Linked DNA regions of Saccharomyces cerevisiae S288C. The protein of the gene in region 1 interacts with the protein of each later gene in a biochemical or structural test. Each region holds a gene or a part of one and is shown on either strand. Other genes may lie near its edges. The genes, in order: PKH2 and LSP1.

Region 1 (5,730 bases):
TACAAAATACAAAAACGTTCAATAAATAAAAATTGAATACAATGTAGTCTGTCATTGTAGTGGTGGTGGGGAACAAAGGTATCAAATAAAAGTCCGTGAAAAATATTAGGAGACAAAATGACAGCATCGAACCCAAGAGATATATTAGTGCTACTAGTGACTCGTTCCTACTGGATTTATTTTTGTACTGTTTCTGCAATTTTGCCAAGTCATGGAATGGAAAACCCTTCTTTGTTTCTTTTGTCTCTGCATTCTCGTTCGAATCTGTCCCCCTAGTATCATTGCTCTCTTTCTCAGTGGTTGTCTCGCATTTGACTGGGCTTTGCTCTATTGTAGTCAATGAAACCATACTGTCAATATATATGTACCTTTATACCAATATTATATGCGCTGACAAGAACTTTAAGAAATTAATTTCCTTTTCTACTTTTTTTCATTTTTATTTTACTTCTGCGTCCATATATCCGGACCATATATATGAGTGTAAATCATTTAGCTGTTGACACCATTGAGTATTTACAATTAAAACCAATTGAGCTCAACAGGCTTGCGTTGAATAATGTTGAGCTGCCCAACGAGCCCTTTTCTCGCGGAGTGCTGTCCGAATTGTCCGAGTTTTTATACGGACAGAACTATCGCTTCTTTGAAGTATATATAAGAATAGACCGGCTGTTCACCCCGTATCCTCCTTTTCTATCTCTTGGCTTGCTATGTTTCAATGTCAGCCTTTGCTTTTATGTGCCCTTGCATACACGTGAATATGTCTATTTTATGTAAACTATAACAGCTGGTACTGCCCGTACATATGCTTAAATTAAATAGCTATTGACGAAGGCCCATTTTCTCGTAGAATATCAGGGTAACATATGGAATAATCATTTTTCTCTGTCTATAAGTAGTAAGACTATTGCTTCTGATCCTTCTGTCAATCGCCTGTCTCCAGTTTTATTTCTTGTCACCTAGAGAAACATACGCTGGAGTTCCCTGTACTATCAAAAGTTGTTTCGGTCCCGCCATTTCCGACTAGCTCTATAGCTAATGGTTGAGACTCAAATAGTTCTGTAGCAATGGAAGCTGATGTACCCCAAATACGAAAAGTCTAAGGCTCAAAAATATATGGTGGGCCCATATATGCCTAGAATAAGGTATGAAACATGACAGATGGTTAACGATCGACTCGACACATTGTTGATGGAATAATTGGTCCCTAGTTAAACAGCGGAGAAATAGCCGCCCAGGATAATCGGAGAAAAGTCACGTGCAAAAAGAAATCATATTCGACGAAATAAACTAGAATAACTTTTGACGTTTAGCAATAATAACCCCAAATGGAAGCGAACATTTCCCGATCCTTTTAGTTTTCTTTAAGGCGCTATTGGCATTCATCTTCAAAGCTTCCGCAACACAGAAATTATATATTCACATTTCTGAGGCAGAGAATAGTTTTGACAACGAAACTGTTAATATTTTTACTCCAGTTACCGCCTTTGAAGTCTGATATTGGTGTACAAAGGTACTTAGGGGTATTTAAGAACAAGAAACTACATAAAATAGTTCGAAAAGGGAAAACAAAAGTAACATCTTGATGAACCGAGAAGCCACTAACTAGTTTTTAAAAAGCAAAAGAAATTAAATCTCTCCTTTTTTTTTTTTCATTTCAACCAAATGTATTTTGATAAGGATAATTCCATGAGCCCTAGGCCGTTATTGCCAAGTGATGAGCAGAAGCTAAACATTAATCTTCTAACGAAAAAGGAGAAATTCTCGCATTTAGACCCCCATTATGACGCAAAAGCCACTCCACAAAGAAGCACTTCGAATAGAAACGTTGGCGATTTACTTTTGGAAAAAAGAACCGCTAAGCCTATGATTCAAAAGGCCTTGACGAATACGGATAATTTCATTGAAATGTACCATAATCAGCAGAGAAAAAATCTTGATGATGACACTATTAAAGAAGTAATGATTAATGATGAAAACGGAAAAACTGTCGCTAGTACCAACGACGGCAGATATGACAACGATTACGATAATAACGATATTAATGACCAAAAAACTTTGGATAATATAGCGGGAAGTCCCCACATGGAAAAAAATCGAAACAAAGTAAAGATTGAACATGACTCTTCATCTCAAAAACCAATAGCTAAAGAGTCATCCAAAGCCCAAAAAAATATAATCAAAAAGGGAATCAAGGACTTTAAATTTGGTAGTGTAATAGGTGATGGCGCGTATTCTACTGTAATGTTAGCGACGTCGATTGATACCAAAAAGAGGTACGCCGCAAAAGTACTAAACAAAGAATATTTAATACGCCAGAAGAAAGTCAAATACGTCAGCATAGAAAAAACCGCCCTTCAAAAGCTCAATAATTCTCCTAGTGTTGTGCGATTATTTTCCACTTTTCAGGATGAATCAAGCCTATACTTTCTCTTAGAGTATGCCCCCAATGGGGACTTTCTTTCTTTAATGAAAAAATACGGTTCATTAGACGAAACCTGCGCACGATATTATGCTGCGCAAATAATAGATGCCATAGACTACTTACATTCCAACGGTATTATTCATAGAGATATAAAACCAGAAAATATTCTTTTAGATGGAGAAATGAAGATCAAACTGACTGATTTTGGTACTGCGAAGTTACTGAATCCTACAAATAATAGCGTTTCGAAACCAGAATACGATTTATCAACAAGGTCGAAATCTTTCGTTGGAACTGCAGAATACGTATCTCCAGAACTTTTAAATGACAGTTTTACAGACTATCGTTGCGATATTTGGGCCTTCGGATGTATACTTTTCCAGATGATTGCCGGAAAACCACCATTCAAAGCTACCAATGAATACTTGACTTTCCAAAAGGTAATGAAAGTTCAGTACGCCTTTACACCAGGTTTCCCACTTATTATCAGAGATTTGGTTAAGAAAATCTTAGTAAAAAACTTAGACCGAAGATTGACGATAAGCCAAATTAAGGAACATCATTTTTTCAAAGATTTGAATTTTAAAGACGGCTCTGTTTGGTCAAAAACGCCTCCAGAGATCAAACCATATAAAATCAACGCCAAATCCATGCAGGCAATGCCAAGCGGAAGCGATAGAAAACTGGTGAAGAAATCAGTCAACACACTTGGCAAATCGCATCTAGTGACTCAAAGGTCAGCTTCAAGTCCCTCTGTTGAGGAAACTACTCATTCAACCCTATACAATAACAATACTCACGCTTCTACTGAAAGTGAAATATCAATAAAGAAGAGACCCACTGATGAAAGAACAGCGCAGATACTTGAAAATGCAAGAAAGGGTATAAACAATAGGAAAAATCAACCAGGCAAGAGAACACCAAGTGGTGCAGCTTCTGCTGCCCTAGCAGCTTCTGCTGCTTTAACCAAGAAAACCATGCAAAGCTATCCAACTTCTAGTTCGAAAAGTAGCAGGTCAAGCTCTCCTGCGACAACATCAAGACCAGGAACTTATAAGCGTACTTCTTCTACAGAAAGTAAACCATTTGCCAAATCTCCACCTTTGTCAGCATCAGTTTTATCGTCAAAAGTCCCAATGCCTCCATACACACCTCCAATGTCGCCCCCTATGACACCATATGATACATATCAAATGACACCTCCCTATACGACAAAACAGCAGGATTATTCTGATACCGCAATTGCCGCACCTAAGCCTTGTATTAGTAAGCAAAATGTTAAAAATAGCACAGATTCTCCCTTGATGAACAAGCAAGATATTCAATGGTCCTTTTACCTGAAAAACATCAACGAACATGTACTAAGGACGGAAAAACTGGATTTTGTTACCACAAATTACGATATCTTAGAGAAGAAAATGCTTAAACTAAATGGTTCATTGTTAGATCCTCAACTGTTTGGTAAGCCTAGACATACTTTTTTATCCCAAGTAGCTAGGAGTGGGGGAGAGGTTACAGGTTTTCGAAATGATCCAACTATGACTGCTTATTCCAAAACAGAAGATACGTACTATTCGAAAAATATTATCGATTTGCAGCTCTTGGAAGATGATTATCGAATTGAAGGAGGTGACTTATCGGAGTTGCTTACTAACAGAAGCGGAGAAGGGTACAAATGCAATCAAAACAGCTCACCAATGAAAGACGATGATAAATCCGAATCTAACAATAAAGGAAGCTCTGTTTTTTCTGGCAAGATTAAAAAATTATTTCACCCTACCTCAGCAGCTGAAACGCTCTCTTCCTCTGATGAAAAAACCAAGTACTATAAACGAACCATTGTAATGACATCATTTGGAAGGTTTCTAGTATTTGCCAAGAGGAGGCAGCCAAATCCAGTTACAAATTTAAAGTATGAACTAGAATATGACATAAATTTGCGTCAACAGGGTACCAAAATAAAAGAACTAATCATTCCCTTGGAAATGGGAACTAATCATATAGTTGTGATTCAGACACCTTACAAGTCATTTCTTTTGAGCACTGATAAAAAAACCACGAGCAAATTGTTTACTGTTCTCAAAAAAATTCTTAATTCGAATACAAATAAAATAGAGAAAGAACTGTTGCAAAGAAACCAAAAGGTAATTGAAAGAAGAACATCATCATCCGGAAGAGCCATACCTAAAGATCTTCCAACTTCCAAGTCTCCTTCGCCAAAACCCAGGACGCATAGCCAATCTCCATCAATTTCAAAGCACAATTCGTTTTCTGAATCGATTAATAGCGCTAAGAGCAACAGATCAAGCAGAATTTTTGAAACCTTTATCAATGCCAAGGAACAAAATTCAAAAAAACACGCTGCTCCAGTACCGTTAACCAGTAAATTAGTTAACGGATTGCCAAAAAGACAAGTTACCGTGGGATTAGGTCTAAACACAGGAACAAATTTCAAAAACTCATCTGCAAAATCGAAGAGGTCGTAATTAGTAATTTTATCTAATGTTTTCATCAAGCTACTTAAATACTCTAAAAATAAATATATGAGGAATTTCAAGTACTCATATAAATATAATAATAATTCTCGATCAATCAAATGAAAGAGCGCCGTAAGGCAGAATCCCAGAATTCGAAAAGAATGAGACAATGCTCCTTTTGCTATTTATTGAATGCAGATAATACGCACTGTTTCTGTGTTGAAAGTGAAGCTGAAATGGAGGTCATGTACTCACGCATTTTCGTCTTCTTCACTATCAATTTCGTCATCGTCATCTTCTAGCTCTTCTATTTCGACAGTGAAACCTTGAGTTTCAAAGAATTCTTGAACTGATTCCAATTTAGCTGGATGACAGCTCACAAAGGCAACGCTTTTATTGGAATCAAACATGTTGACAAAATATTTCTGCATGGCATTTTTCAGATCTGTTTTGGTAACATTCTGCAACCTTTCCAAATACAATTCATTGAAGTTGTTCCCCCTTTGCAAACAGAATTCATCAACATATTTGGACAGGGCTGTTTCAAAGTATCCGCATTCGATAGTAGCCAGCCTGTTAATAATACTACTGATGGCACCTTGGATTAACTGCTCATCAAATTCCAAGGCACCTGATGCATAATCTTGAACAATCTGTTTTCCAACTTCATAACATTTAATAATATCAGCGCCGCGGTAAATATTGAATCCCCAAGAATTTATCTCACATAATTTTAACATGCTGGCACCATAGGCCAATCCGGCACCACGGATTCCCTTCCAAAATGGACCTTCAACACATTCTAGATATTCGGAAGCCAATGAGACA
Region 2 (3,710 bases), on another chromosome or scaffold:
ATTCGATATCATATGCATCATAAAAGTTTACATTTAGTCTTTATTTGCATCAACGCAAACCAGGGAAGTACAATAAAATAAGCATTCTATGAACTCGGAGAGCTGACGAAAAAATTTTATATTTTATATGTTGCGGATGAATTATTAATGCCATTATATAAAAATAGGTTATCAATAGGAACGTAATGGTGTGTGATAAGCTTTATAGCCTCTTGAACCACTGCACCTCCAAAAAAGGCCATTACGGAATAGTTATCGTCGACTCGTAAACCAATAAACTCATCTTTATCCTCTGCAGTTACTGCCGGTTGCTCCCAGAATTGGACCATAACTAATGCATCTAAAAGGGCATTCGAGGTGCTAAAAATACCTAACAAGTCACTTTTTGGCGGCAATATTTTCCTGACCTCCCCGTAATGAGAACAAAATGTCTCCAAGACATCCTGTGAAACTATTTTTTTACTGCGAGCCAAACTTTCCTCCACACGAGACTTGTCAAGCTTTGCTTTTACTTCATACAGTTTCTTGAGTCTGATATAATTTTCCGTTGTTGACTCCATATCTGGGAGAGTGCCCGTTAAAGGTTGAAAGCTGAGCTCCCCATTCTCTTTAGCAATATTTTTCAAAGTCAATAATAGTGTGAGAATCTCGTAGTTATAAGTATCATGCCAATCGTTCCCATAATCTGATATTTCCAAATTTCGGAGCAGATCTTCCAGTTCTTTACAACAATCATTTTGAGAGCAGGCCAAGTAAGCATAGCGTTTAGCTTCCACATAATTGGGTTCGTAGATAACATCATTCCCTAAAGGAAGGCAAATTTGGTCTAAAACTTTCTTCATCTGATCAATCGTTATCCTCCCATTATTACCATCCCTTTCAAGTTTTGCAATACACTTCATGAGCAAAACAGTATATGGAATACCAGAAAACGTGGCTGTATCCATTTTACTTAGGTCAAATGTATCTACGTAATTTATTAGTTCAGGCCAAGGGTTCTGTAACCGTAAATCATACTTCTTACTATCTGGGTGTGCTTGCAAAACAAAATGTGTTTCTGAGAGTACCAGATATATATATCCATAAAATCCAGAGACGAAAGTGTTTAGAACAGGCGGAAACTTTGTTCCTCTCTGCCGCCTAATCTCATTTAAATCGAGCATCGCAGTTTGCTCACCAATACAAGTCAAGATCACCACCGAGAAGCGGGTCCAATCATACTGAGGTTGCTGTAACGTCTTTCTAAGGTCATTTTCCTCATATTCTAGCTGTTTAGAAGCCAATGGCTCAAGATCTTTTTTAAGCTCTGCTAAAAACAGAGAACCCGATTGAACTGCACACTCTACTTTGAGCCAAGTAAGAGATGATATTCCGGCAAGCACCAGATTCTTAAAAACTTCCTGCAGCAAAGGTGTAGCAGGTCCTACCACGCACACACGGGACCGGTTCAAACTATCTTGGCCCAATGCTCCCCATAGTCTCAGCTGTCTATCATATCTTTCCATATTTTCATCTACGGCTGTCTAGTTGGCCTAAGAAAGAAAGAGAGGCGACTCATTTTTTTGACGTCAATCGTCTGACTTGTCCTTCTATTTCATTGCTAGGCTAGAAAGCTTAGCTCTTACAACCCCGCTCGTTGCAGCCGAGTGAAAAGGGGATTGCGAAAGGCGTTAGAGGGGATAAAAAGGGGCCCTTTAAAAAAAAGACGGAAAAACCGGGAAGATGCAACGGCTAAATCGCAATATATAAACAGGTGAGATAGAAAAGAAAAAAATCAGTTAACCTCTTTCCTCAATTCCAATGCTTGACCGTAAATTCTCTTTATTTGGTATACGAAAGATTAAACTTTCAAAGCTCCAACACAAGAATGCACAGAACTTACTCTTTAAGAAATCAAAGAGCTCCAACGGCTGCTGAGCTACAAGCTCCTCCACCACCACCATCCTCAACGAAGTCCAAGTTCTTCGGAAAGGCCTCTATTGCGTCTAGTTTTAGAAAAAATGCGGCTGGTAACTTTGGGCCAGAGTTGGCTCGTAAATTATCTCAATTGGTTAAGACTGAAAAAGGTGTCCTTAGAGCTATGGAAGTTGTTGCCAGCGAACGCCGTGAAGCTGCAAAGCAACTGTCTCTATGGGGTGCTGACAATGATGATGATGTTTCCGACGTAACCGACAAATTAGGCGTCTTAATATATGAGTTGGGTGAACTACAGGACCAGTTCATCGATAAATATGATCAATACAGAGTCACATTAAAATCAATTAGGAACATTGAAGCCTCTGTTCAACCTTCGAGAGATCGTAAGGAAAAGATCACAGATGAAATTGCCCATTTGAAATATAAAGATCCTCAATCAACAAAAATCCCAGTTTTAGAGCAAGAACTAGTTCGTGCCGAAGCTGAATCTTTGGTTGCGGAGGCTCAATTATCGAATATCACACGTGAAAAATTAAAGGCTGCTTATAGTTATATGTTTGATTCATTAAGAGAGCTTTCTGAAAAATTTGCCCTGATTGCTGGATACGGAAAGGCCTTATTGGAGCTGCTAGATGACTCTCCTGTCACTCCAGGTGAAGCTAGACCAGCGTACGATGGCTATGAAGCTTCTCGCCAAATTATTATGGATGCTGAATCGGCCTTGGAATCTTGGACCCTAGACATGGCTGCAGTCAAACCAACTCTTTCATTTCATCAGACCGTTGATGACGTCTATGAAGACGAAGATGGTGAAGAAGAAGAAGAACCTGAAATCCAAAATGGAGATATCCCCGGTCAAGTAGTCGAAGAAGAGGAAGTTGAATGGACTACTGAAGTTCCTGTAGATGATGAAGCCCATGAGGCCGATCATCATGTTAGTCAAAACGGTCATACCTCCGGTTCTGAAAACATCTGAGTTTTTTCTAATAATTAATATATTCGAACCTTTCTATATTGTGCTTGTTTTTCACCAGCTCGTGTCTACCTATTATTAATTTCATCTGAATTTGGTTCAAGTATTGTTCGGCCAATATTCCGGTATTGTAATCACCTTTATAATTAATTGAACAAATTTTATAAGACCTAATAATTAACCTTTCTCTTGTTCTCCTTTGCCGTAAGAGATTCAACTTTTCGAAGTCTAATTAAATGAATATGATCTATGAAGTATATATGTACAATAAAAATGCCTATATTAATAAAATTCCTGTCCAAATGCCAGGGCACTTATGCCTCCCTCATCAAACCTCCCCAACTATTCTCCTCTTTACTAGCTCTTTTTTGAAAGCTACATCATTGTCTTTGATATACGCCATTCTTTTTTCCAAAGCAGCCTTTGTGGCTATTGCTTTAACCCGATTTCGATATTCTCTTTTTTTCTGGGAAATGTTTGAGGGTAGGTTTGTGGGCTTCTGATGATCTTGTGCTGTATTGGTGCAGCGTAAAGTAGTGGGGATACAACCCAAAAAACGTAGTATTTTTTTTTGTGAAGAATCACTTTCTTTCCAAATTTTCCAAGAGAACTCACCCTCGGAAGCAATCAGGTTGCCCAACAATTTTCTTGCTTTTTCAATTGACTTTTCTGATAGCGTATTAGGACTACCAAATTTGAAAATTGAGTCTGCTTTGGTTCTCCAATAACTTGTCCGCAATCCAAATCCTTCACTAACCTTTAAGTCTTTGATATACTGTAGGACTGCCCCAAAATTCTTGGTGTTGCCATTCCTAACTAA

The links.
Region 2: the proteins of PKH2 (region 1) and LSP1 form a complex in vitro, tested with the Saccharomyces cerevisiae proteins (2 studies listed by BioGRID, with this or other methods).

What each region holds. Positions count from the first base shown.
Region 1 is NC_001147.6:127,572-133,301, forward strand, and holds PKH2 (serine/threonine protein kinase PKH2), read left to right. Parts: upstream 1-1,665; coding exon 1,666-4,911; downstream 4,912-5,730. Other genes in the region: IZH4 (Izh4p), read right to left, coding at 1-349; SDD3 (Sdd3p), read right to left, coding at 5,154-5,730. UniProt on the Saccharomyces cerevisiae protein: Serine/threonine-protein kinase which is part sphingolipid-mediated signaling pathway that is required for the internalization step of endocytosis by regulating eisosome assembly and organization, and modulating the organization of the plasma membrane.
Region 2 is NC_001148.4:549,815-553,524, reverse strand, and holds LSP1 (lipid-binding protein LSP1), read left to right. Parts: upstream 1-1,867; coding exon 1,868-2,893; downstream 2,894-3,710. Other genes in the region: ULA1 (Ula1p), read right to left, coding at 117-1,505; AEP3 (Aep3p), read right to left, coding at 3,219-3,710. UniProt on the Saccharomyces cerevisiae protein: Together with PIL1, main component of eisosomes, structures at the cell periphery underneath the plasma membrane that mark the site of endocytosis.